7 linked regions of the Kluyveromyces lactis genome follow. Each later gene encodes a partner of the first gene's protein in a complex. Links are inferred from orthologs where the notes say so. Each region holds a gene or a part of one and is shown on either strand. Other genes may lie near its edges. The genes, in order: NUP1, NUP82, GLE1, NDC1, MLP2, NUP145 and NIC96.

Region 1 (4,028 bases):
AATGTAAAGATGTCGGAAGGAATGATATCATGCAATAATTGTTACAATTGAGATGCAAAGCCTTTGTTTTCCTTTATTAGCCTCTTCTTCTTCTCCTACCGGGCATAGCAATTTTGCGCTGCGGTGGAAATGGTGCCCCTCCTTGAGGAGTTGAAGCCTGCGCATTGAATATGTCCGCTGGATTCTGCTGACCAGCGGAAAATATGGACGATGGATTCTGTTGCGGGGTTTGGGATCCAAATACTACAGAAGGACTTTGAGATGGTTGACCACCAAAATTAAAATTGGCAGCGGCTGAAGGATTAAATGTGTTTGTCTGCATAGAATTACCGAAACCGGTACCCAATGCTGGTACCTGGGGAGTGGAAGAAGCTGAGCTTCCGCCGAATGAAAAAGGTACATTAGGCTGATTGGAACTGGTTCCAAATGCAGGTGAACTGTTGGTAGTGCTTGGCCCACTTCCAGTAAAAGTAAATGGTTTTTGATTTTGTTGTGCAAAAGTAAATGTAGTTTGAGTAGGCTGCGTTACACTTATCTTATTCCCAGGTTGAACGACATTATCAAATGAGAATGGGACAGGAGGGTTGCTTCCACGAGCAGATCCAACATTTGATGAATCTGAAAACGGAGTCGGAGTAGTTTGTCTATTATTATTTTTAAACCCTGTCAAATCAAATTTGAGTCCGCTGACAGGCTGGCCACTGGTGTTCTGACTTGCAAACGAAGGAATTGCATTGGAAGCTTTTTCAATTGAGGGCTGCTGGATGGCAGAGGAACTTCCAAAAGAGAATGCAGGTTTCGAACTCATATCACCTTGAACAGGTTTCTTTGTGGTCCCGAACGAAAATGATGGTGCAGCAGCTTCTTTTGGGGTTGTATCAGAAGGTAGGGCTGCTGGGGTGCTACCAAAGGAGAATGCAGGTTTTACAGCAGTACTGACGGCATTTTTGGCTTCCTGCTTCTCTGTCGCGTTGTCTGCTGAAGGCTGTTGGTTGAGAGAAAATGCTGATGTATTCGAAGCTTGCCCAAAACTGAAAGGTTTAGCTTTTTCCTTCTCAATATTTTTTGACGAATCATTTCCTACAGGTTTACCACCAAAGCTGAATGATGGCAGCACTGGTGCTTCAGTTTTTGTACCATCTGGTCTCTTTGCGGCAGGTTCAGTACTACCACTGGAACCAAACTGAAATAGTGGTTTAGGTGTATTAGTTGATTGAGAGGTACTCAATGGGGTCAGATCTGGAGTAGATGATTTTCCTTTGTTGAAGCTAAACATAGGTTTTGACATTTCACTGACATTAGTTGGTTCGCCTGCATCTTTTTGGCTGCCAAAACTGAATGAAGGGGCGGGTTTAGCTATCTCTTTGCCTTCTGAAGATTTTCCAAAACTAAATGTAGGTATATTTGATATCCCAGTTGTATCCGCACCAGTGAAGCTGAACTTAGGGAGGCCGTCTTTAGCCAGATTTTCAACAGGTTCGGGGGCGGATTTCTCAAAGGGGTTTTTGGATGTTTCAGCTTTTTTGGTCTCTTTCTTGGTTTTTGATAAATCACCAAAGGTGAAAGAAGGAGCACCATCTGAGATTTTTGTGCCTCCATTGGCTGTAGCTGTGTTGTTTTTTTTTACCGCATCAAAAGAAAAAGCAGGTTTCGATGGTTCAGTTGATGTTTCCAGCGACTTAGAACTTGTGAAGGGAAATGGTTTAACAGTGTCCTCAGTAGAACTAAATTCTTTCTTTTTTCTTGGTAACTCTTCAGAATCCTGAGAAGGGGCCGTTAATTTCTGTTTATCATTGTTGAATAAATCCAATTTGGTATTTCCAAAAGATATATTTTTGGATACTGTTGGTTTGGTAGGTGTATCTGTGCTACCTGGGAAAATAGAAGTACTGTCTCTATTCATAAAGTCAAATCCAACACTTGGGCCGTTAGCGTTTAAAACTTTATCTTCTGATATTTTTTCCTTGACGATAGGTTTCAATGATAGTGTTGGTGCAACTACTTCTTGTGCTATCTTTGGATTTTTTTGCAATGTCTTTCCTTGTAATAACCTGCTTTGAACATCAGTTAAGCCAGATCCACTAGGCACTCCTGTTTGATCAAAAGTATTGACATGTTTCTTTGAAGAGGTACTCCTTTTTAGCAATGGATGTGGTAGTTTAGGAGATTCCAAATTCCCCATTGAGGCAGATACTGGTTTCGTCTTTTTGTCGTTTTTCAAGATATCATATTCTGATAAATCGTATTGAAAATCAGCTTTCCACTTCTTGGACTTTGGGTTATCGGAAACCCTATGATTTTTCTTGTCACTTTGTAGTTTGTTGACGAGTAAATTCTTTATAGTAGCATTTTTGCCGTCTGTTAAGCGATATAGGCCGTTCTCTGCTGATTGTAATTGTCTTTGTAAAAGTGGGAATTGCCGAGCACGGCGCAGTTGCTGCATCCTTAGTAGCCGCAATCTTTGTTTCGGTTCTATCGTTAGTACTGGAGGCCTTACACCATGTTCAGAATCCCCTTCATACAAGAAAATATTCGGTCTTTCATCATAATTGATATCATCAATGCCATTGTGATTTAACGGGTGATCGGTGATTTTTTCGTTATTCCAAACCAATTCCTCGTAACCGTCGAAGCCACGTTTTTGCCTCTTGATGACCACTGATCCTGAATCACTGATATCTTCATTGTGCGACCTTGTTATATTCGGATCTTCGCTATTCGTATCGTCATGCTTGGTAAATAATGATGCCAAAGTCGATGAAATCGATCTTTTGGGTTTTTCCAGATATGATGCCGACATTATTCTATAAAGTGGCCGTGATATGCGGCAAGTGAACCAGAGTCCAATTCAAGTTTTCGATTCCTATTTCTTTCGAAACTGCTGTTTCTGTAACTTTCTTGCGTATTAATAAAGGTATTATTCGATATTTGATAATTCGATATTTCAAGTCCTAACATTCCTAGCTGTTATTTTTTTCCTCTTACAGGGTTATAATCACTTTGTACGGTTTGACACATATTGACCTAAACTAACCAAGGCGTCAGTATAAGAGAGTCTAGCTAGGAGATGGACATAAATTTGCATTAGTTCCAAAACATCAATATGGGGCTCGACTATTATCCAAAATTTATTATAACGATTCTACATTATGAAAGTTTAAAGATTTGCCGTCCACTTAATACAAAAGTACCCTTTTTCGTTATTTTAGCTTTCAAGTTTTATATAGAACTCAAGTTTTGTTCATTTTTCTATACATAAGGCCTGAAAGTGACATGAGGGATCGAAAAGAACAAATTGATATATAAGTAAAGAAAAACTTAACGTTAAACTGCAAGAACGCACAGGATAGAACGTAGTGTGCATCAATGCCATGCTTAACAGTACAAGTGTTCTATTCTTGTGAAATTCAGATTATCACGTGACCGATTTCTCCCCATCCTGTCATACATTCGTCCCATCTTGTTTTTTTTTTTTTAGTTTGGGGAAACCTTGAAGAACGCGTCATGGAGGAAATCAAGTAAAAAGTGCAACACCGAATGTGGTTATGAGGCTTCGACACCACAGAACAGACCGCTTGATTCCGAAACGAAGAGGCCATATCGGTCAAGGAAAATCCCAAAAAACACCTTGAAGGGACAGAAGACTGAAACGAACACATAAGTCTAAATCCGAAAAGAAAAGAATCATTACACTAGAAGAAAATGGGCAGTGGAACATCGCACGATGCCTTCGACTACGAGTCATGAAGTGGGAGATCGATAAATGTCATAAATGTCATAAATGTGCTATTTTTATGGCTGAGCTCTGCTAATGGTATCATATAGTTTTTTTTTTTTTTTTGTAGTTTTCAATATTCCCTGATCGAATCTGGGTTGCCTCGAGAAAAATGTGATATTAGAATAGCGTATATCCACTGTTCAATTGAAGAAAACTGAAAAATTACAAACGAAGGCATTTTACCTTTAACAACTCGGTATCGTTTTTTGTTTCCTTAGGTGCTTTACTAAGTTATTTGATCGTTTGACGT
Region 2 (4,028 bases), on another chromosome or scaffold:
CTAAGACCAGCCTTTGTCAGGTTGAATCAAATTAGAACATTTCAAGAAAGAAGAGCAGGTCCACCACCATTACCAAAGGAAGACCAGGAAGAGTTTGAAAGGCTGCAGAAGCTAGCGTCTTCTCAAGAAGCTATTGATTCTTATAATGCACAGTTTGAATCGGATCATACTATGGAATCGGTGAAATCGCCAATCTTGAAGAACGATATTGGTGGGTTTTCTCCAGAATTTATGAAGACTATACCAGAGTTCGAAGGCGAAAAGAATCCTAAAACAGGAGAAATTGGTGGACCAAAGCAGGATCCATTAAGGCATGGTGATTATTCTTTCAACGGAAGAGTCACCGATTTTTGAGCGCCATTCACACGTTAAAACAAAATTCGGTTAGTAGCATATTCACATAATGAAATGATATAAAAAGTAGCACATAATATAGTAAGGTATATGCCAGTTTTAAAACTAAAAACGAAAAAAAAAAGATATGTAGATGGTGATTGCTATTATACCGCTAGATCTTCAATGGATGCGCTTAACTCATTCATACAAGAATTGATGACCTTTTTGTCGTTCAGTAACATTTGTTGTAGGGAACTAAATTCTAGCTCGGAAAAGAAATCGTCTCCTTTAGTAGTTGATCTAAGCTGTGTGTCCAAAAACTCTAGTTCTTCGCGAAGTTTGTTTGTCAGATGTACATAGTTATTGAACTTTAATACCTGGTTTTTGATACTTTTGAACCACACTAGTTCGGCCTCGCTGATACTGCTTGTTCTTAATTTCTCGTTATTTTCTATACTGGAGAATGTCTCTTTTAACTTGTCAAGTCGTTTTTCCAACGTCTTGGACTTTTCCTCATACCTGGAATATCTTTCTTGGAGGTCTCCCAAGTTTCCGTTAAGTTTATTTCTCAACATTTCGATCTCGTTGGTTTTTCTTAATTGGCGATGGAGTTCAGCCACTTCTTCGTTGGATTTGTTGAACATTCTAAATAAAATCATCTGTCCCAACTTGACGCGCTTCATGGTTTCCTTGTAAAGTTCAGAAACCACTTCCAATTGACGTTCATTGGAATTGTTCTTCAAAGGGAGAGGAGCCAAAGAGTCCGGTATGCCTGAAATGAATCCATTGGCTTCTGTTTTATACTTCGTCAAAAGCATATCCAATTCCTTTCCAGACGTTGGCAACGATGGTTTATATGTATATTTCACTTCATCGGTTCTGTTTATGGGTTTCTGTGTGGTGCTCTTGTCGTTACTCTCGATGACCTTGAAGGAATTGCCGTTGTAAAGAATATCACCAGACAAGGTAGATAAAACACCGAGGAAAGTTCCTGAAACTGTTCTTATTTTATTTTCAAACTTAACATCATCAATGATAGAGAAGTCATGAAGCCTTATGCACTGTGCCAATGGTTCCAACCATGGCATTTCCATGATAGTCGTGGAGCTATCACCAGTAAATACTAATTTAGGTTCCGAGGAGTTTAGTAGTTGGCATTGACCTTTTGCATTGAACATTGTTATTACACTAAGGTTATTGAATGTAGTATTGGAGCGTAAACTCCAACTCATGACAATTTCAGAATCGGAGAACAACACAACGTTTGTTCCATCTATAAATTGAAGATTCAAAAGGCCCAAACGTTCTCCAACCGGTATGATTGTCAAGCCTGTGACCTCTTTCGCATTCAAAGCTGTCGGAAATTTTTTTATAATGAACGGGCCCTGTGGTACAGAGTTCCTGATTGCTTTGCTCGTGAATGTGTCTATACCATCATTTTTTTTATAGTTGTCGAAAAATTGAATTTGTTTCAATAGATCATGCTTTAAGGTGAGGTAATCGGATTCCACATCAGGATCTGAACCTGATATCAGCTTTAGCTGTTTATCGAGGCTATTGTATAAAGACAATGATTTGTGCAACATGTAATCCGCTAAAGAACCATTTTTCGTCCTTGATGTGACATTTGATGTATCATTACTGCGTAGGGAAAAATTCTTTGGTAGACACGGATGGATAGCATATATGTCACAGTAATTGAAGGAGCTCAGCAGATAAAGTGTCAAACCGGTTGGATCAAATGCAATGTCACAAACTGATTCCACATGGTCTGATAACCCAAATGATCTCGATTTACGATTGAAAACAGTGATAGATTCGGGTTCTAGGTCTTCAAGATCATAAATTCGAATTGTACTATCATCATGCAAAATAACGAAAGATAACCCATAAGTAGCCAGAGGATGCCATAATAGTTTTTTTATCCCTAGACTGGTATTGAAATGCTTTCTTAATCTAGATTGCTCATTCACTTCCATGACATAGAGCTCGCTGTTCGCATGAAATGCTACAAGGCCCCCCGACGGACTGATGACCATTTGTTCTGGAACGAATGGAAGCTCCACATTATAACTCCTGTATTGCGTTTCGTGGTCTGATTGCACTCTTAAGATGTTGTCCTGCCATAAATAAATAGTGTTGGAATTGTTGCAGACAAGACGGTCGGAAGGGTTCAGAGACACTTCCTGGAAGATTGCCTTCAAATCTTCTGTATTGAAGAGTAACATCCCACTATATTGGTTCAATATCCGGCAGTTAAAGTTATGGAAGAGAAGGTACCACAGTTAGATCGCCAGTTGATCTGTGTTACGTGTATTTCAAGAAGCGTGAGAGTAGTTCATCGTCGATATATTTTGAATATTTTGAACTTTAATAGTAAAAAAAAAAAAATACCTATAGCAGATCCAGTATTGCAGAAAAGGAAGTGTACGAAAGATATCAAAAAGTTATGTTAGATATGTGTCTTTATGTCATTTTTATATGTATATATATTTACAGGCGTGAATCATACTGTGGGTCCGTTAAATCTTTGCTAAGAAGTTATTTTGTTTGATGTTGGCACGGTTGGCTATCCTTAATTGTTTTTTTCTTAGCTTGATTGGATCAGCTGCTAGTTTTTCAGCTTGGACGTTGGCATCAAGCACTGTCCAGAGCCATTCAGGGTATTCGCTGTCTTCTAATGCCACGGGTTCCTTACCGGATTTCTTGATTTGTAAGTTCAATGGAGTGCCAGCTGGACATGATGACACGATCTTGGCAGCTTGGCCAGATGCCTCGCTTTTCACTTGGTTAAATAGCACGCGAGTCACTCTCAACATTTCTCTCTTTATATAATATGAAAAATAACCGATTTGTTATGGTGGGTATGTGGTTGCCGATACCAATTCGAACCTCAACAATAAGTTTTGGCAAGTTTGTCCTGCCTTGCGGCTATCAAAGTTCATGATCATTTACAGTCCAATTTGAATTTCTATGGTACAAAATGTTGATTTTATCGAAATTTTTCATTCAAAAACTAAGAATTCACAAAACGCCAAGCAGGGTAATGGCGAAATCCATGACGACATTATAGAGGGACCAGGCCGCGTAGTAGCATAGTTTCGGGCTAAACACGGACCAAATGAATAGGTGGTACCTTAGTGCAATGCACGCTATCATTAGACATGTTCCGGTGATATAGTAATGCTGCAAGCGTAGTGTCTTCTGTTTGTAGCTTTGAGGAATTAGTGAGAGAGCCCAGTAGATGGATGGTGCGTAGTTAGACAAGAACATTAATACACCAACAACGTATATGTTATAGTTGCTACTAACACCATTGTATGCATTAGTTAGATTGACAGTTGCAATGGAGTTCGTACCACCAAATTGGAAAAAAGTGAGGTTTTGTAGACATAATGAGAAAATTGGTGTGATGTCCGGTGTGACGCTAGTCAGTATTTCAAATATTAGAAACAATGGGATATTTGCAGATGAAGTTTGGAGCAACAAGACGAATTTTATAACACTCAGTAGTTTGTTTAACATATTGGTGCTTTTATTCAAGGCGTATTTCATGAAAAGAAGGATTATAATAGATACACCACATATTTGGAAGAAAATCCGAGCGATAGGCACTAAACATTGTGAAATATCTGATTCTGTAGCATTTTCATTAGCTAGATACATGGCGCATGATCTAAGTGCGAATGTGT
Region 3 (3,450 bases), about 180 kb from region 1:
GAGCATTAATTGATCTTTTCCGAACCGTTGAAAGGAAAACCGAATCCACTGACCAAAGTTCTAGCCTGTACGTCAGTTTGGGCAGTTGTGTTGATGTTGATGTGCATACCAAAAGTTACTGGCCAAAGATCTTGATTAGCATCAATCTCTGGGAAAAATCTGACTTCATCGCTGGTCATACCAAATGATAACCCACCAAATCTGTTACCTGACTTGTTGGAGATACCTTTGTATTCTCTGATTCTTGGTAGTACAATTTCAGTCAAAGTGGATAAGAACTGAGACATTGGACGACCTTTCAATGTAATGACAGCACCCATTTGGGTACCTCTTCTGACCTTCCAGGCCGGAACATCATTCCTAGAGAACAAAGCCTTTGGTTTACACCCGGTAATTTGTTGCAATTGTAATGCTGCTGAAATTGGTAGATATTGGTTCTCTTTTGCATCTCTGACGTAACAGTTAATAACAACGGACTCGATGTCTGGAATGTTCTTCCACGTTACTGGATGAATATCTGGCAATTGAGCACTTGAGCCCTTAGGTTTTCTGGGTTCTCTGTTAATGTGATATGGAGAAGAACCGTCCCATTCTCTTTGCTTCAACCCGAGCTTCGTTTGGCTTTTGTGGGAATAATTTATCAATAATAAATCGCTTTGTAAAGTATTATAATAATGCTCACGAACACGGTCTTGATGTGTAACAACAGGCTTGAATGCTGGAGATCTAATATCGTTTTTACTATATTTCAATTCAGGAAACCTTGGGGATAGCTTGCTCTTGTCGATCTTAACCAAATGATGCACTGGCTTAACCAAAGCACAAGCAGCTTTGGAGACCTTTGAACTACTGTGGAAACCACGTACCACTTGCATTATCACTTGGTATCTTCTCACAGATGCGAACGAATGAATGTATAAACCTACGAATGGGAAGGAATACTGCTTTAAATCGAGTGAAACTGATCAAATCTCTATCATTATCTTACAGCTTTAGCTCGAAAGGTCGAAAAATTTTTAAAACTTTCAAGTACAGAGAATTCAATATACGTCACGTGACAAGAATCAACAAAAAGTGAAATTTGATTAAAAACCAGGTAGAGCTCAGTTGATGATTATAGAGAGTGTTGACCTTTCAGCCCTTGTGTTGATGCATTGCAGCCGTTTTTTTTTGATCCCGTACTTAAAGACACGTAGCTGGATTCTCCATTTAGGTAATAACAGTCGAACTTAACCCCGAATCGTTTACTTGAATTGAGCTTTTTACCGATTTGATAAAGTAAAGAAAGCGATTGACACATATCAGGACAATTGAGATGAGGTTCTCATTTGACGAATTGTACGAGAATGCTGAACGGAAACAGAGTCAGAATACCAGCAGCAGTGATTCTGACTATGAATTAGACGGGGAGTTTACGTATATTGGCGATCCATCTGATGGGATCCAGTTAAAACTACCGAAATTATACCATTCTTCAAAGAATGACGGCCAAGGTGAAGAGCAAGGGTTTAGTTCAGGAGATACAATTTCTTTAGAGGATGTGGTAGAACCAGAAATAGTTTCAATGCTTTCCAACTTAAATATCACTCTTGAAAGGAATGCACTACCGCATCTTACAACGAGAGGTCACGAGAATAAAGCTTTAGGCCCTGTTCTTATTGACGAAGCAGAACTTTATTACCAAGAGAAGAAGGATTTGATTGACGAGGTGGAACAACACACCTTTCCTATGCAAGACCAGGTGCTTGAATCTGTGTGGAATGAGGAAATTGATTCAATTGAAAAGGTGAATCAACGTTTAATTAAAAGCATAAAGGATAAAAAGAAGAGGGAAGAGGAAGCACGTATCCAGAAAGAATGCGAAGCGGAGAAGCGCAGACAAGAAGAATTGAAGCATAAAAAGGAGATGGAAAAGAAGTTGAAGGAGGAAGAGAAACGGAAGATTCAAGAAATGGCAGAAAAGGAGAAGAAAGCTGAAGAAGCGAAGAGAGTAGAAGCCCTGAAAAAGAAGCAAGAACAAGAACAACTGGAGAGGAATAAACTTAAACAGTCCAAAGAATCTACAAATTTCAAGTTAATCGAAGAAACTTTTACTAAATACAAAACCATGATTCAGACAATTAAAACAGAAATAATTGAACCGGTGAAGGCGGATCCCACCTTGAAGAAAACTTTAGCACAACATAAGAGGAAAATTAATCCAAAATTCGGACAATTAACCAACAGTACTGCACAATTGAATGCAATCACCAATGAACTTACCGAACTGGTACTTCAAACGAAGGCTAACCAATTAGCCTATAAATGGATTCTAAACTTTATAGCTAAGGCGATTGTTTCCCAAGCAGAATCTGAGGCCAGAGTGAAACCTGAAAGCGCTTTGCCTTTAGGAACACTTGCGCTAAGTCTTCTTGCATCATACCCGGAACTCAAAGAGTTCTTACTGGCGAGACTCATCAAGAAATGTCCGTTTGTTATCGGTTACACGTGCAGCATAGACACAGTCGAAGGAAGAACCAGAATGGGATGGAAACGTCAAAGTGACAACAGATGGGAAGAAGATATTTCATATGATGAAAGGATGGGTGGTATGATTACCTTGTTTGCTGTCATCACAAGATTACCTCTACCGCAAACGTACATTCAGAAACTTGTGCATCCTTTCCCAATCTCTTGGTCATGGAGAATGCTAGCTAGAATCGGCAACACTCCAAAGGATCTACTTACAAATACACACTTCGTCGTTCTTGCCTACTGGTGGGAGGCTGCGGCAGCACAATTGCTCCAAGCATACAACGTTCAGGCAACAAAACTACTTGAAGTTATTTCGATTGATTTAACTGCACTTGTTGCTGACAAAAAATTCGTTGGTGCAGCAAGACTCCGCATTATTAACGAGGAATGGCATAATACAAATCAAATATCATCATTCCCAGATATGGCAGCATAACGGCTAGAGTTTTCTCTAGTAAAATATATATATATATATATATGTATGTATACCTTCAGATCTTCGTTTTCATCATGTGTTCAGGGCATAGTATATGCCTTATGTTCTCATAAAACTTTAATAATGAGGATTCAAATATTTCCAGAGAGAGAGCGTACCTCATTGCCTAGAAATACTCCGCAACTGTTGAACAAACCATGAACCCATTTTCACGTGCCCATTTACCCTTTTCTTTCTTATTCTTACTTGCAACAGTCTTTATACTCAAAGAGTTCGAACCTTTAAAAACGTAGTTTGAATCTTGTGAATACTTCCATGTGGTTATCATACAAACGAATAACGATCGGATCATCAAAAACTCGCAGTAAGACCTAGAGCAATGACAAGGCATTGTGACGTTTCGATACCGGATTCACCTGAACCTCCTTTTCCAATTACCACATCGTTCGTCGATGTAATAGCTGGTTTCGGTCGTGGATCAGCAGAGTTAGGAATTCCTA
Region 4 (3,696 bases), on another chromosome or scaffold:
CTTCTTGAGCAGATACTACAGACGTTGCTATTAAATTTATAAGACTTACGGTTGGCGAGAAACGTTAATTGTGCACGAAAAGCTAGTGCGGATCGATGAATTGATAAACCGATGGAAAAAGTCTTTTTAAATACGTAATGACCTTTTTGTAAAAATGAAGATAACGTTTGTATGCTTTGGTTTGTATTTTATTCATACGTAATGCTAAAATAAGTTTGTTATAACAAAAGTTCTGCTGTAACTCAAATACTAACCTCAATGGTCATTATGATCTAGTGAAGGTTAATGGAAAATAAAAACATTTCATGAATAATTCCGACTTCTGGAATAAGAAGCAAGTATTCTCCGCTCGCTTGTTCAGTACATGTAACATCTTCCTATAACATACCAGAAGTTTGGGGTAGATTTCTTCTCTTTTATAATGAAAGCAATATAACTTTTGAATATTATTAGAGTAACATGCTTCTGTTGGGAATAATCCAATTGATGCCAAGCTATGTTTAAATATCTTGTGACATTTTTTGCAACCACTGTGTTAACTTCACGACATCTTCGTCCAAATAAACATCGTTAAGGAGAGTGTCATACTTCAAAACTATTTCCAAAAATGCATTGATACATAAGTCATACAACACACTTATGACATCATTCAAATCCTTTTCTTGTTTTCCATCCAATATTAATTCAGTAAACGAACCTAAAGAGCCAATAGATCTTTCCAAAATTTTTAATACTTCGCCGACTGAAGATACGACAGCTCCTTTGGGATCTTCATCCACAGAATTTACTATAAAACCCATCATCGAATACACACACTCGGCATAGCATACTGGCACAGGACACAACTTCTCAGCTTCCCTTACTTTTGATATATGGTAAAGTTCAAACAATGAGAGCTTCTTGTTCGTGTTATCAGTTGAATCGATGGTGAAAAAGTACTGACTGATTCTTCTCTGTATCCAATTCCAAAGATCAGTCAAAACAGAAAGTACTGTAGGTTGTCTGGTAAAAATTGCTTGTTTGTATGAGTCGATAAATCTCGGAGGATTCGGACTTCTTTGGGTATCGTTGTTTTTGAAAACATTGCTGTCCTCTAAAACGATTCTATGTGAAGCCATTGATGGTAGATCCGAATTTATTTGTTCAGTAGGAGGAGCACCAGGTAATCTGGAATCCTCATCATTATTTTGTTTTCTGACAGTATGGTTGGTACCGAATAAATGATCTACCGATCTATTGATAGGGAAAGATGGTTTTGTAGGCTGGGGATCAATCTCTTTCTTCAATGTAAGCAAGAAATCGGATACGTTATAGTTGGTTTCTTGAATAACAATCATACATTCTCTAAGTATACCGGGCCAGATCAAGCTATTTCTATAGGTATTGTGGTAAATTGGGAGCCTCAACTCCACATTTGCACAAGTGGCTCTGTAGGCCAGCTCTTGGAATGCAGTAAGTTTAACAAATAATTTTTCTGATCTCAACCCAGTGATCAATGTCTCCATTGAAGCTGGAGATAACGAAGAGATTGGTTTACCTTTATGCAAGCAACCAATTGATAGAAAGGCGTCGAAGCCAATGTTTGTAAAGTCCCATGTTTGCAAGATTAACAAGCATATACAACAAATCCTAATATGGGACCATATACCAGAGCCTAGATGTCCGAATAAAAGCTTTAATAGAATTGGAGTAATTAGAAAGAGTATTGCAGTTAACACAAGACACTTCAAAAATGAATCATGGATTCTTGAAGCCATAAACTTCTGAGGATGTTGATGTTGAGCACCGTAGTTGAAAGTAAGTCTGTCAAGATCTAAAAGTACATGTTGGATGGAATACAAAAAAGGTACCATAAACTGACAACAAAATTCGTAATGCTGTGAATGCTTTCTTGAACCAGTACCTGGAGTGAAAAAGCAACAGGAAAATGTCAAAGAAAGGAAGAATGCGCTCACAACGTAAACTAAAAGGTACGTGATCCATTTACGGGAGACTAATTGGCCATATGATGCGCTTATCCAGCTCGTATATCCAAGGTAATTGACATGAAGATAGTTTTTCCTGGTAATAATTAGCATCAACATTGCAACATAGAAAGATAATATTTTTACTGGCCATAACAGTAATTTCTGAGATTTCGACAACTCCCATTGTGTCGTAATGGTTGTAATTAAACCGACAAGTACCGCTGTTTTGAAGAGTAAACCCCTGGCGAAATTATTAAACCTGCTCTTGCATACCCCACTGAATATCCGATGGTAAGTAAAACGAGAATCACGCAGTTGCGGTGCAACCGGTCCTAAACTCTGCACGTAAGACATCAATGAAAACAAACCAATCAAAGATGAACACAGGTAAAAGTACAGCCTGTATAGCAATAAGCTGAGTAATTTTAGATGCTTAAAACAGACAAAGGTCAATTGGACTTTAGGACAATCAATTACCTTCCGAGTTACTTATATTATTTATTTGTATATCATCTCAAGCATTTTAAGTTCTTAACAGGTTGTGATCTAGAGATCAGGCGTCATAAAAAAATTAGATATTCGGGTAACCCTCTTATGCCAATGTCATAGTTGATTTGCATGGTAACTCGAAACTAAAGACAATCACCTCCTTGTCAGTGAGGTCAGTCTCAACATATAGACGCTAAACGCGAACCTGATGATATCGTAAACAGTTGTTACATGTAAATAAGTAAATCAACTAAATATGTGTCATATTCTCTTTCTCTTTCTTGTAACAATGGTCTCGTGTCAACTTTAACGCTTAAAAGTTGATATTCTTGTCCAAAAGATATATACAAATATATACAAGGTCACTCATAGAGTACTGAAAATATTAGAATGATTTGCGTCGCCACTTTCATGACCAATGTAAGTACTTCTATGACAGCACAGGTACTGCCAATCCTATAATGATAATGTTAAGTTTCATTGCCATCCTTTCAAAACTCCTTTCAATTTACATGGCTCTCGCGTCTTTTAATACCGATAGAAACAGATCTTTTTCAAGTTTACGTGATTTAAGCTACTGCTCTGTTTACTTTTTTCAAATTTACTGTATTGATAAACTAAAACTTAAACAAACTAGGTCAAACAGTTAACGATTTTGCGCTGTTGAATTGGACAGGATACCACCTTGCTTGTGTCTTTAACTGGTAGAAGATTTTGTGGATTGGTATATTAGTGCGACTCGCATCAATTTTCCTTTTTGCAGTTTGTTAGATATGGAGGATACAGGAAGTGGCAAGAATGGTAAAGATGACATTCAAACGAAGTTAGATAAGAAGCTAGGACCAGAATATATTTCAAAGAGAGTAGGATTTGGATCCAGTAGAGTAGCATATATCGAAGGCTGGAAAGCAATCAATCTAGCAAACCAGATTTTTGGGTATGACGGATGGTCTACGGAGGTTAAAAATGTCACTATAGATTTCCTTGACGAAAGGCAAGGTCGATTTAGTATTGGATGCACCGCTATTGTTCGTGTTTCGTTAGCCGATGGAACGTTCAGAGAGGATATTGGGTATGGAACCGTGGAAAATGAACGGAGGAAAGCCAGCGCTTTCGAGCGTGCCAAGAAATCTGCAGTGACAGATGCGTTGAAAAGATCGTTAAGAGGGTTCGGAAACGCTCTTGGGAATTGTCTTTATGATAAGGATTTCTTGGCTAAGATTGATAAAGTGAAGTTTGA
Region 5 (4,274 bases), on another chromosome or scaffold:
TCTAGCGTAACACTTTCTGCAAACGGACTTTTCACAGTTGTACTTAGAAGCCAAAGCCTTTAAAGATGGTTCAATGATACCACCTCTCAATCTCAAAACCAAGTGCAAAGTGGATTCCTTTTGGATGTTGTAGTCAGACAAGGTTCTACCATCTTCCAATTGCTTACCAGCAAAGATCAATCTTTGTTGGTCTGGTGGGATACCTTCCTTGTCTTGAATCTTAGACTTGACATTGTCAATGGTGTCGGAAGATTCGACTTCCAAAGTGATGGTCTTACCAGTCAAGGTCTTGACGAAACTGTTTTCAAAAAGATATGATTTGTTAGTAAAAGTTTGAAACTCGATCAGAACAAAGTTCTTAAGGCAATCTTATTGGGACGATTCCTAGAATTAGTGAACGTTCAAGTTAATTTTGCTAGATTAGTAAAGCTTAATAAAAAACCAAAAAAAATTCCCTCTGTAGGTATGAATTGTTGTGCATTTGATAGTTAGGAGGTGATAGGTCCCATTAAACTGCTTCCTTGTATCCTTATTCATTCTGCAAAGCGTACTTGCTTTCGTTTGAAGAAATCGTGACATATATCTCACTCAACAGTTTAGACCGCGTACTCACACTCTCCGAAATGAAACGCTCAAGTTCTCACAGGATAGCGACTATCATGATATATGTTACACCAAACACAGTAAATCCTTGTCATTTTCATTAGTTGTTATCCGAGTTCGTCTTGTTGTTTTTTAGCTAATGTGCTTTCGTCCCATTTCAAAGTAGCATAAACCGTCTTGAATCACCAAGAAACCCCAAAATAAGATGCCTTTTGCTTATCATATTGTGCATACATTTGCATTTTTGAATCTTGTCCTTTCCTGATCTTTTTGATAGTAATCAACAACTAAGTACAGCTATCTTAAGTGCGTATGATTAAATGATATAATCCAAAATACTTTGAGTATGAATTCTTGCTTGCTTTCCTCAATCTGGGTTTGGTACATAGAAAGTTGGTGAACCTGAGGAATCGACAACGAGCAAAAACGAAGTGATTTCTGCAATTAGAAAATAAAAATACCGTTTTGAGGAATATATGCATTTTTAATTGTCAAGCCCCGAAATTTATACACCCAGACACACTGTTGAATAGTGCACGGATGTTGTTGCAAACCGTCCCAACTTGGAACGTAGAATTTTACTGGTACCGGTTACCCTGATTGTTAGTTTAGATACGACTTCTGTATTTCGTTCTGCAGTCAGTTCGTGGTATCTGGTCGTTATTTTGAATTTCACCGAATTGGACCTAATATTGAAATTGAACAAAAATTACCTGTCAAGAACAAAGCCTATGTGCATTGTATATGCTCATGTATACCTGCAGAAATTTTTAGTATACTTCTAATTGAATATCATAGCGATTAGCTTGAACACTAGGTAAAAGTAGCGTCTTATAGATTGCTATTCCATTGTTGTGTTGTGGAGTTGAGAATGTCCGTAGAACCCATTGCCTCTAGGGTCGCAGACTTTCTACAAGTCGACCAGCAACTGATACAAGACATTAATAATGATGTTTTAGGTAGGATTGAGGAGAAGTTGGAAGATCTTCGGAAACAAAAATCTGAAAACCTAAGAATAACTGCTACCTTGGATCAATTAAAATCTCAATCAGAGAACAAACTAGAATCATTCAAAATTCACATCTCTCAACTAGCCAAGGCATTGGAAGATGGGAAGGATGAGCGCTTACACTTTGAAGAAGAGAAAAGGCGTCTAATTGAAGGAAATTCACAAGTGACCAAAAGAATCATAGAATTGGAACAAGAAATAGAAGTAGAGAGGCAACAAAAAGAACTTGCTGACGCTTCTAAGCAAGATATTGCAGAGTCACTAAACGAAAAAATTGAAGAACTCAGTTCTACCAAAGCTAAATTGAATGAAGCACAGGGAGCGAATAAGGAACTTAGACAAAAAGTCGTCAATACTGAAACTGAGCTACAAACTCAGCAGGCCTTAGAGCTACGTTCGAAAAGCGAGATTTTAAGGATGGAACAAGAAATCACATTATTGAGAGAAAACAATGACTGGTTGACCAATCAGTTAAATACCAAGACCGTACAACTCAATGAGTTTAGAGAAAGCACAATTAGTGAATTACAAGATTCTCAGTTAAAGGTATCGAATATGGAATCAGAGTTGGAAATAGCTCGAACCAGTAATCAGAAACTAAAACAATCGGTACACAGTTTACATGAACAACTGGAGCAAAAACTTTCCGAGAACAAAGAAATTAAAGATGAGTACAATTTCTCTAAACAAGAGCTTACGAAAGAGATGTCTTTAAAGCAGAGAATGATTGATGCTCTAGAGAAACATATGGAATCATTGAAGAAAGAAATGGATGCTACAAAGAATAACATGGACTCATCATATTTCACCGAAAAAGAAAGAGACGAGCTCATTGAAGAGCTCAATGCGGTCAAATATCGTTTAGACGCATCTGAATCTAACTGCATAAAACTTAAGGAGACAATCGATGAATTAACATCCAACATAAAATTAGAAGACTCCGAAGTTGGTAATACCACTGCGTCTTCAGAAAAATCGGTTTCTGTCATACCTAAGTTATATGGTGATTTGGGAATGCTCAAAAAACAGCTGGTTATTGAGAAAAGACAAAAAGACGAGTTAAAAATGCAAGTGGAAGCATTCGTTGTTGAATTAGAGCATAAAATCCCTGTTCTCAATTCCTTCAAAGAGAGAAGTGAAATGCTTGAAAGAGAGTTAAATGAGGTTACTATTTTGTTAGAGTCAACTGGCAAAGACCGTGATCAAAAGTCGTCACAACTTGATTATTTGAAAGCTACTGTGAAAAGCTATGAGACTCAAATAGCCTCCCTATCTAAGCAACGTGTTGACCTTGCCCATCAGATACAGTACTTACTCGTGAACGAATCTATTAAGTCAGAGGATGGCGGACCATTATCCGCTGAAGAATTGCAATTTGTCAAAAATCTAACCAACTCTCAAGAAATAACAAAGACCTCTGACACTCAAGGCATTATAACCGATCGACTAGTAGAATTTAGATCAGTAGTTGAGTTGCAGCAGAAAAACTCCGAACTTCTTTCTACAATTCGCAATCTTGCTGATGAATTAGAACGCAGGGAAGCTGAAAACAAATCTCAAATCCAGGTATTAGAGGATGAAACGGTGAGAGAGGCAAAAGAAACCATTCTTACACTTCATGATCATGCACAGAACCTTGAAAACCAACTAGTCATTCTATCAAAGGAGAGGGACGCATACAAGGCATTGTCAGTAAATGCTAGCTCTGGCACAAACACACCTAAGGCCATTACTTACCCTTCTCCTGATAATGACGATAAAGTGAAGGATCTCGAAACAAGACTCACCGCTGTCATTCAAGAAGCAGAGAATAATGCCAAGGAATGGTCATCAGAAAACAGCAACCTGCGTAAGAAATTATATGAAATATCACTTAATTTCGAATCTGAGAAAACTTCACGTACTCTTGCAGAAGATAGGTTAAATCTATTACAATCAACTTTAGAGCTTTCCAAACGCCAATGTGAGGAGCTACAAAAAAGATCATCTGATCTACAAGATATTTTAACAAAACAGGACAAACGTACACAGGAGACTGTAGATTCCTTAATCAAAACGAAATCCACTTTGTCATCTATACAATCGGAACTATCCATCTTGAAGTCTGAAAAACAGTTTATGGCAAAGGTTCAAAAGGAACTGAAGGCAGAGAACGAAAGATTTTCCAAAGAAAGTGTCGAATACAAGGTGTTAATTGCGCAACTTCAGACACTCCAACGTGAGAGAGAAATGTTACTCAAGGAAACTCAGAATTCTTATAAGGAAAAGCTTAGAAAATTGGAAATTGAGTTGTCTGGTTCACTCGAACGCCTTGAAGAAATTGAAAAAAACACCACAGGAATTGCTAGCAATAAAGAGCATCAATATAATTGGTTTCAAGAAAAGATTGATAAGTTAACTAGTGAGGCAGCTCAACAGAAAACGACCTTAGAAGAAAAAGAAGCTCAACTTCAGAAAATGCAATCCACTATCAATGAACAATCCGCAAAACTCAAGGAGGCCGAGGCACGGGCACAATCATATACGATGTTAAGTAATGTCGATGATGCTCAAAACCTAGTTGAGACTTTGAGACAGGAATTGGAAAAGGTTAACTTGCAACTTTCTGATTCATATTCACAAATAGAGCATCATAAAACTCTGGCGGAACAGTCCGTGCAAT
Region 6 (4,180 bases), on another chromosome or scaffold:
AAACAGATAAATGTTTGTTTTTGGAAATTATAGCCGTCTTTGAAGCATTTACAATGTCGTTGACAGAGAGGAAAAGAAGTATTTTCTGAATATCAGAAGCAGTGGATAGCATAGAATCAATCTCAGCCCTTGTTTCATCGACTATCCATCCACAGAGCTTTGCATGCCGTTGTTTTTTAATAAGAACTTTTTCAACTTCTGGGGAATTGACAGCGTATGGAAGGGAAAGAGGATCAAACAAAATGGATGCTAACTTCAATATTTTGTCTTCATTTGGGACATCAGAATATGCAGAAGCAAGATTATCGAACTGTAAGGAACATTTCCCAACAAGAGGATAACCATTTGGTCTGGAGTTGACTATGGATGTGTTCAGATAAGAGGCGAACACATTGTCAAAAGAAGATTTATTTATTGGCAAGTTGGACTGAAACACGATCTGCTTACAGCCTGACAACTGTGATGGATCTTTGAGCAATAATTGCCCGTTAATATTAAACTTCGCAAACCACATATGTGAGTTGATTCTTCTTTCTCTTTTAACAGATTGGTATGTCAATAAATCTTTCTTAAATGAAGGGAACAAGATATCGTCCAAAGAATTACCTTGCGTGTTTTTGAGTAAAAGTGGCTTGGAATACACAGACTGTTTGGAAGTACCTGCTAATTGTAATTGTTGCAACCAGTTCGATGATGTAACAAGTTTAGGTGCAGCCTCGAGGATATTCAAATCATCTTCGTCTAAATCAGAAGGTTCGTAAGGTTTTTCCTTGATAATAAGTGACATGTCTTGGTCAACAGAGTCGGATAGTACTGGAACCAAATCTAGTACTTCTTTCTCCATTGCAAGAGCCTCTGCTGCTGTGAGGTCTGCATTGCTTGGTACCTCCGCTTCAAGGGACGTGCTAGACTTCTTCACACTGTGGCGACGCTTGGGAAAGGCCAGAGGTCTGTCTCTTATTTCCTCGGCGTTTATTCTTTCTGCTTCTTCAGCATCCACCTCCATATCTTCTTCATTGACCATTCCCCAAACACTGAAATGTTTAACTCTAAAAGTCCAAATTCCACCAAATGGGTTATATGAAATGAATTCCATTTCTTTCATATTCCTTAAACGCTTGACAAAATATTGAACTTCAGCAATTTTCGAGTTGTCTTTAATGGGTTCTTTTGTTTTTTTATCGATCGGATAAACATTTTCCAAAGTTATTGTAGCAGGTACATTGACACCATAACCAACATCCGGTTTATTTTCGGTATCAGGATAGACTTCCACGGTTCTATTCTCATTAAAAATTATTGTTCTTCCGAATAGTTCTTCAAAATCATCCATAAATGCAGTTAAGTCAACTTCATAGTCAAAACTGATGGAACCAAAGTTTTTGCGACCAATCACAAAATTGGGCACAACCGTGAGCTGGTTTTCCGTAAGTTGCTCTAATTGTTCGATAGTAGGTGAGCACCAATAGTCAGTTGCTTTATTCGTTATTTTGTGTTCTTCATCCAGACAGACTTCCGAAGTTGGCTCTGTTGGACTAGTTTCTGAAGGATGTGCTGAAAAAAGAAGTTTATCATTCCTTGGTATACTAATCTTATGATCTTTCTCGTCCATATCTTTCATTATGGTAGCGGAAGAGTGACCGTTAAAGAGTTTCATCTTTTTGGCAGCGCTTCTGTCTGTATCAATGGTTAATTTTTTCATGCTTGAAACGTCCTGGTTAAAATAAGAAGCCAGTGAGTTTGTCTTATTGTTAATATTCTTCCCTTTTTCCTTACTCTCATCTCTTGAAAGTGCCGAGAAAGTATCCTGTTGGGCTAAGTTTTTATTTGATGGGGAGAACAAACCATGTGTTGTTTCTCTGCTCTTCAAATTCTTAAGTCTTGAAGTTAGCTTCCCTATCAGTGTTGAATTGCCTGTGGGAGGTAATATATTGTTGCTGATCACTGATGATGCAGTTGAAAATTTTCTATTTTGTTTCGAGTCTGAGACAGGCTTTCTCTCGTTACTCAGGGATGTAGTAATAGATTCTGGCATTGACAGCACAGGATTTGGACTTAATTGCAAACCGTATGGGTTGTTCGTTGGGGGTTGGCCAGGTTGCTGTGGCTGTTGTAGTTGAGAAACATTGAACAAGCCTGTTGAATTTGTAGTTGGTTTGCTGGACGAGAATAAGCTCCCTGAACCTTGTGTTGATGAATTTCCAAACAGTGAAGTCTTTGGGACTGTTGACGCCGTGTTCGTGGTATTATTAGAAAATAGACTATTAGTTTGCGATGGAGTATTTCCGAAAAGTGACCCACCATTGTTTGATTTATTACCAAATAAACCACCACTCTGTTGCGTATTTAATCCGTTTGATTGGAACGTATTGTTTGTTGTCGCACTGGGGTTATTTCCGAATGAGATACCAGTAGCTGTCTGTTGTCCACCAGAATTTCCGAATAGCTTGCCAGCACCATTGTTCTGCTGGGCATTCGACCCTGGGCCAGAAAATAATGATGTGTTGGGCGTTGATGCAGCGGCGTTATTAGGCTGGAATAGAGAATTCGTCTGTGGTGTATTCTGGGAAGCATTGTTGTTTCCAAAAAGATTCAACCCAGGCTTGTTGTTGTTGTTCTGAGCATTGCCAAATCCTGTTGGGTTTCCAGGGCTCGGCGTGGAGAGTGTATTAGCACTAAACAATGTGCCAGTATTGGGTTTTCCATTCAAAACCCCATTGTTCGCTGGTGTAGAAGTTGTAGGTGTTGAGGTGTTCGCGTTGCCGAATAACGAACCAGGCGCTTTGTTATTACCAAACATAATCAACTTGTTGTTGAATTTATGATGATGATGTTTAAACTGTACAGATTCAAAAATGACAGCAGTAACAAAAAACTGAGAAATTTCGTCTGCAGCAATGAACACCAGCTATGGAATTGGTTTTTAGAAGCTCTGCGATCAATGATAGCCAAGTAGTGCACTTGTTAGAGTTCAAAAGGTGTTTTGTTTACACTCATCTTACTGTTTAAATGTTATAGAATAACAATTTTTTGGAATATTGCCATTCGAGAGAAATTTAAAGAAATATCGTACGAAACTATATACTGCGTAATGCCTAAAACTTGCGCTACAAAAGCTCGGATATCCATATCAAAGAGCTATATTACAATTGGAGAGCCATTTAAATACCTTTTCATATTTCTTTATGAGATTAGACGTTAGATTTCTTGCTGTTTTTTCTTCGCCATAGATAATATTAACATTGATGGTCGCATTTTTAGAGTGACATATCAAATCAATAAACCTTTCCATAGGCAAAGAAAGGGCTACTTTGCAATGATATTTATAGTCCAAATGCTGGAATGTGACATATTTGATCTGAGAATTCTGTGATGGGGCATTGACGGTTGCCGGGAATACGAGTTTTAATTTTTTGAATTCTGAAATGACAATTGAAAGATCTATCAGTTGACGTTGCAAACTTGATATGCACTGTAGTCCATTTATGAAGGTTCGCTGGCAAGAGTTGATCCAACAGTTTATAAATTCTCTTTCAAATTGGTCTATTCGTTCTTCTCTAATACTGAATGAAATACATGACGGTTGATCAATTTTTGAAAGATCAGCTGTCACAATAACTTTGTCGTCATGTAATGATACAGATAGGACTGGACCAACTAACTTTCTGAACTTTATACCAGAAATGCTTTGGTAAAGCTGATGGACTAGTTTAAGCTTTGCCACATCATATTCTGTGCAAACTTTGCTTTGTTTCAAGTCCTGTCGAAGTTGAGCAATCTCTTCGTTCACTTTACTCATCTCCAATTTTGCATCTTGTATTTTTTGGGTAAGTTGATCTTTTTTAGTGGTCAGCTGGTTCAAGTCTGACACCTTTAGCATGTTCTCCCTCAAGTCTCCTTTCAATTTGTTCACTTTCAGGAGAGTCGTTATGTTCTCTTTCTTGTTACTAAAAACATCGTTGTGCTGCCGAAGAACATCAAGTTCTTTCATTAACACCTGTTTGATGTCACTAACTCTTATTTTCACGTCATTTATTTCATTCATGTATTTCATGATCTGGGCATTTTCATCCACCAAGATAGCTATATTTTCTTCCAGGACTGTTTTAATTCCTTTCAAATGTTGTGATCTCCACTCAAACCAGACTTTTTCAGATTGTAATCTAGCCATTATGGTTAC
Region 7 (4,280 bases), on another chromosome or scaffold:
AATAAGGTAGGATTGGACCACGTTGTTTTGGTCAAAGTTGCTACCACTGCTGTGGTTTCCAAGATGTTGGGTCTATCAGAAGCTCAGACCACAGAAGCTTTATCTCATGCTTTTGTAGATGGACAAGCTTTAAGAACTTATAGGCATGCTCCAAATACTGGTTCCAGGAAATCTTGGGCTGCCGGTGACGCAGTGGCAAGAGCTGTCAACATTGCATATTTGGTGAAGAATGGAAGTCCAGGTACAATTCCTTCCGTACTAACCGCTAAGACATGGGGTTTTTATGACGTTCTTTTCAAAGGTAAACCATTCACCTTCCAGCAAAGGGACACTTTCGGTTCTTATGTGATGGAAAACGTTCTTTTCAAGATATCGTTCCCAGCAGAATTCCATGCTCAAACGGCAGTGGAAGCAGCTATTAAGGTGAATAAACAGTTGGCAGAGTTGGGCAAAACTTACAAAGACATTAAAAAGGTCAGAATTAGAACTCAAGAAGCCGCTGTGAGAATTATTGACAAGGAGGGTCCATTGTACAATTATGCTGACAGAGATCATTGTATTCAATACATGACTGCTATTCCATTAATTTACGGTAGACTAACGGCTGACGATTACAGTGATGAAGTAGCAAGCAACCCTGAAATTGACGAATTGAGAGCTAAGATGTATTGTACTAAAGATGACCAATTCACTTTGGATTATCATGATCCATCAAAGAGATCAATCCCAAACGCTTTGTTAGTAGAATTGAATGATGGGACTGTCTTAGATGAAGTGGTCGTAGAATATCCAATCGGTCACAGACTAAGAAGAAAGGAAGGTGTCCCACTATTGATGCAGAAATTCTACCACCATTTGCGTGAACATTTCGCCGGCGATATTGAAAAGGTGGAAGCTTTAATGGAAGCAAGTACAGATGACGGTTTCTTAAACTTAACTGTTGATGAATATGTCAACATGTACTGCGATTAAGCTTTGTCCTTCGCACAGCATCATCAACGTATAACGACCACAATCAATTTTTCATTTCATTCAACTCTTTTTTTGAACTAAACGAAGTAAAACCTACATTTCAATGGTAACCAAAACAACATTTTCTATTCTACAAAAACTGACCACAGGAATCAAAAGATTCTGGCAATCATCAATTCCAGATTACAATATATAATTAACTTATTTTCTCTTGAGTTAATACATACATACTTATGTTTTAATATTAATTACTGTCATGATCAATTTCTGGCTGTCCATTTTTTTGTCCCGTCACATGTTCGGGTAACGGTGCAAAACATTGTAGTTAAAAAAAATTAGACAGAAAACAATAAAAGAAAATGTAAACTATCAATACGTTGAATAGATGATGGAAATAATTCATTGAAGATACTTTGAAAATCAATACACATTGTTGCTATCCATCGCATCAAATTATCTTTAACCCGTTCAGATTTTGGAATTGTAAAATCCACACAATCGTGGAACTATGAATATCAACAGTCAAATCAGCAGTGATACAATGCTATCTGCATTTCAAAACGATGCAAAGACTAGTGGCTCCACGTCTAAGAGCTCATCGAAATTATTCAATGAGCTTTTAGAAACGTCAAAGAACTTACCTTCTACTTCATCTGACCTTGGAGCTATCTTATTGAGTGTCAATGAGATGAAAAAGAGGGCACAGGAGATGCGTAAGACAATTCCTCACGATTCCAATCATACAAAAGCTCATTATCTCTTAGCAGGAAGTGGACTTGAATTTCACGAAATTGAGAGTTCCTTGAAGAATCTTAAGTCATCAGAGTTGTTAACCGAACAACGGGTTGCACAAGGCTATAACGATGGTGATTTGGACACTTATTTACATATTAAGAAGGATGAGAATATCCTTTCCTCCATTGAACAATCATTGTCTTTAGCAGCGAAGGATTTTGATAATTTCATTAATCAGAACTTCAACCTAGATTGGAAGCAAAGGAAAGATGAAGTAAGAGAAAGCTTTGGGATCCTAGTCAAGAAACGTCAGGATAGTTCTAACTACGATACGACTAATTTGGCTCCTTTGGATCCCAACGGTCCAATATTTTGGGGGAAACCACCTGGTAGTGGTATCTTGGATGGTGATTTAAATTCAAATGTCAATGGAAATCACATCCTTAGAGAAAAGTTTGAGAAATATGCCAAAATTATTTACAGGTTTAACAATTCAAGACAATCACATAATGACGATTTTCAATTAACCAAAGAGTTCATTGCCATCTTTCAGAATACGACCGACTCGAAGTATAGACAGCTACTTGACGGTTGGGAGATTATAGATAATGCAACAAATCAATCCCCAAATATTGTTGAGTTTTCCAAAAAATACCTAGAAAACCAGTTCTTGAGCTATGTTGACAATTTGTATTCAAAGAATCCAAGCGAAGGTTTACCGACCAATGTTAACAAAATTAGAGCATTTATTGACCTCAAACTGAAGACTGGTGAAAATACTTGGAAATTTAACAATCTTACGATTGTGAATGGAATTCCCGTATGGGCCTTGATTTTTTATTTGCTAAGGGCTGGTTTACCGCAGGACGCGCTAGAAGTAGTTGTTAACAACAAATTGAGTTTCAAAAAAGTGGAGCAATCTTTCCTAACATACTTCAAAGCTTATGTAACGTCTCCTGATCATCGTCTTCCACAGGAATTTGTCTCAAGGTTGCATACAGAATATAACCAGCATATCAAAAACACTTTGGACAGCGATCCGTTCCGTTTGGCGGTCTACAAAATTATTGGCAGATGTGATTTGACAAGGAAGAATATCTCTTCTATTACTCTAAGCGTGGAAGATTGGTTATGGATTCACTTGATGTTAATCAAAGATGATATGGATATGGATGATCCAGTATATGAAAGGTATACCCTCAGCGATTTCCAACATACTGTTGTCTCTTACGGTGAGTACATGTTTAAAAACTATTATCTACAGGCCCTTTTGTTAAGCGGACAATATGAACTAGCAGTACAGTACTCATACAAAATAAATGAAATCGATGCTGTTCACTTGGCAATTGGTCTAGCGGCAAATGGCATGTTACATGTGTCATCTTATAAAAAGGATGAGTTGATCTCCGTGAATGATGGCCAAACAAGGATAAACTTTGTTAAGGTATTAGGAAATTACACAAAGTCGTTCAAGTACTCTGATCCAAGAATAGCTGTCGAATATCTAATTCTCATCGCACTAGTGAATGAGAAAGAGCAGATTGAATGGGCGTATGAGGCACTCAGGGAATTGATCTTGGAAACTAAAGAGTTCACCATACTTCTCGGAAAGATCAACTCTGAAGGAATTAGGATCCCCGGTGTAGTTGAAGAAAGACGCCCATTATTACAGCTTGAGGACCAGAAGGACTTTTTGTATAAGATTACCGAACAGGCTGCTCGTAGGGCTGATGAAGAAAGAAGAATTCATGATAGTTTGTTGTTGTACCAGTTATCAGAAGAATATGACATTGTTATGTCCATTATCAACAAGTTATTGGGAGAACTTCTAAGTAGCACTGACCTCAATCAATCCCTCTTTAGGTTGAATGACAACAGCGAAACGAATTACGTCTTAATGGCAAAGAAGTTAATCGAAGTGTACATCAACAACATCGAAATCTCTAAAAAGGTTCAGGCAAGAAACAAAGAAACATGTATTGTCTTGTTGAAACTAGCTGATATAAGAGCATCATTCCTAGCACGCCAATGGCAAAACACCCTACAACAGATTGAAGATCTCGATTTAATTCCGTTCACGGATGAAAGCTCGACCAGAAAAAGAGCACAAGAATTTACACATTTGGATGAGAATATATTAAAGAACATACCTAACCTGTTGATAATTACAATGCTATGCATTTCTAACATCATAAAGCAGTTGAACGAAAGTGATTACCAATCTTTGACTAAAAAGCAGCAAATCGATTCTCTCAAACGTGTTGCTAAAAATTGTATGATTTATGCTGGTATGATTCAATACAAAATGCCAAGAGAAACTTACAGCATATTAATCAATATAGAAGTTGGTTTGTAGCAGAGCTCTCATTTATGAGCACCTGAGTTATGTCAGAACCCAGACGTCCTACCATAATAGCATACAATAAAATAACCATGTGTAAGTCGATTGTTATTCGATATAATTGCCTGATAGATTATATATGCATATGTATATATATACATTTGAACTGCCAATTACCTTTTCAGCAGTGCATTGTTGTAGTGAGTAGAAGATGCAACGAAATGTACAAGAA

What was found.
Region 2: NUP1 (region 1) and NUP82 share a complex: the UniProt entries of both Saccharomyces cerevisiae proteins name them as parts of the nuclear pore complex. The link is inferred for Kluyveromyces lactis from reciprocal best matches to the Saccharomyces cerevisiae genes NUP1 and NUP82.
Region 3: NUP1 (region 1) and GLE1 share a complex: the UniProt entries of both Saccharomyces cerevisiae proteins name them as parts of the nuclear pore complex. The link is inferred for Kluyveromyces lactis from reciprocal best matches to the Saccharomyces cerevisiae genes NUP1 and GLE1.
Region 4: NUP1 (region 1) and NDC1 share a complex: the UniProt entries of both Saccharomyces cerevisiae proteins name them as parts of the nuclear pore complex. The link is inferred for Kluyveromyces lactis from reciprocal best matches to the Saccharomyces cerevisiae genes NUP1 and NDC1.
Region 5: NUP1 (region 1) and MLP2 share a complex: the UniProt entries of both Saccharomyces cerevisiae proteins name them as parts of the nuclear pore complex. The link is inferred for Kluyveromyces lactis from reciprocal best matches to the Saccharomyces cerevisiae genes NUP1 and MLP1.
Region 6: NUP1 (region 1) and NUP145 share a complex: the UniProt entries of both Saccharomyces cerevisiae proteins name them as parts of the nuclear pore complex. The link is inferred for Kluyveromyces lactis from reciprocal best matches to the Saccharomyces cerevisiae genes NUP1 and NUP145.
Region 7: NUP1 (region 1) and NIC96 share a complex: the UniProt entries of both Saccharomyces cerevisiae proteins name them as parts of the nuclear pore complex. The link is inferred for Kluyveromyces lactis from reciprocal best matches to the Saccharomyces cerevisiae genes NUP1 and NIC96.

Annotation. Positions count from the first base shown.
Region 1 is NC_006039.1:1,148,483-1,152,510, reverse strand, and holds NUP1 (FG-nucleoporin NUP1), read right to left. Parts: upstream 2,801-4,028; coding exon 77-2,800; downstream 1-76. UniProt on the Saccharomyces cerevisiae protein: Functions as a component of the nuclear pore complex (NPC).
Region 2 is NC_006042.1:156,109-160,136, forward strand, and holds NUP82 (linker nucleoporin NUP82), read right to left. Parts: upstream 2,565-4,028; coding exon 501-2,564; downstream 1-500. Other genes in the region: SDH8 (Sdh8p), read left to right, coding at 1-354; MRPL37 (mitochondrial 54S ribosomal protein mL54), read right to left, coding at 2,859-3,155; mannose-ethanolamine phosphotransferase LAS21, read right to left, coding at 3,361-4,028. UniProt on the Saccharomyces cerevisiae protein: Functions as a component of the nuclear pore complex (NPC).
Region 3 is NC_006039.1:1,325,351-1,328,800, reverse strand, and holds GLE1 (nucleoporin GLE1), read left to right. Parts: upstream 1-1,315; coding exon 1,316-2,950; downstream 2,951-3,450. Other genes in the region: MRPL7 (mitochondrial 54S ribosomal protein uL5m), read right to left, coding at 6-875; FMN1 (riboflavin kinase), read left to right, coding at 3,330-3,450. UniProt on the Saccharomyces cerevisiae protein: Functions as a component of the nuclear pore complex (NPC).
Region 4 is NC_006038.1:139,184-142,879, forward strand, and holds NDC1 (Ndc1p), read right to left. Parts: upstream 2,322-3,696; coding exon 501-2,321; downstream 1-500. Other genes in the region: recombinase RAD52, read left to right, coding at 3,230-3,696. UniProt on the Saccharomyces cerevisiae protein: Functions as a component of the nuclear pore complex (NPC) and the spindle pole body (SPB), probably by playing a key role in de novo assembly and insertion of both structures in the nuclear envelope.
Region 5 is NC_006037.1:55,751-60,024, reverse strand, and holds the start of MLP2 (Mlp2p), read left to right. Parts: upstream 1-1,474; coding exon 1,475-4,274. Other genes in the region: RPL40A (ubiquitin-60S ribosomal protein L40 fusion protein), read right to left, coding at 1-298, 838-845. UniProt on the Saccharomyces cerevisiae protein: Together with the closely related MLP2, involved in the structural and functional organization of perinuclear chromatin. Together with MLP2, associates with the nuclear pore complex and form filamentous structures along the nuclear periphery.
Region 6 is NC_006041.1:1,686,167-1,690,346, reverse strand, and holds the start of NUP145 (nucleocytoplasmic transporter NUP145), read right to left. Parts: upstream 2,801-4,180; coding exon 1-2,800. Other genes in the region: kinetochore-microtubule binding complex subunit SPC105, read right to left, coding at 3,131-4,180. UniProt on the Saccharomyces cerevisiae protein: Functions as a component of the nuclear pore complex (NPC).
Region 7 is NC_006041.1:1,253,996-1,258,275, reverse strand, and holds NIC96 (linker nucleoporin NIC96), read left to right. Parts: upstream 1-1,480; coding exon 1,481-4,063; downstream 4,064-4,280. Other genes in the region: PDH1 (putative 2-methylcitrate dehydratase), read left to right, coding at 1-972. UniProt on the Saccharomyces cerevisiae protein: Functions as a component of the nuclear pore complex (NPC).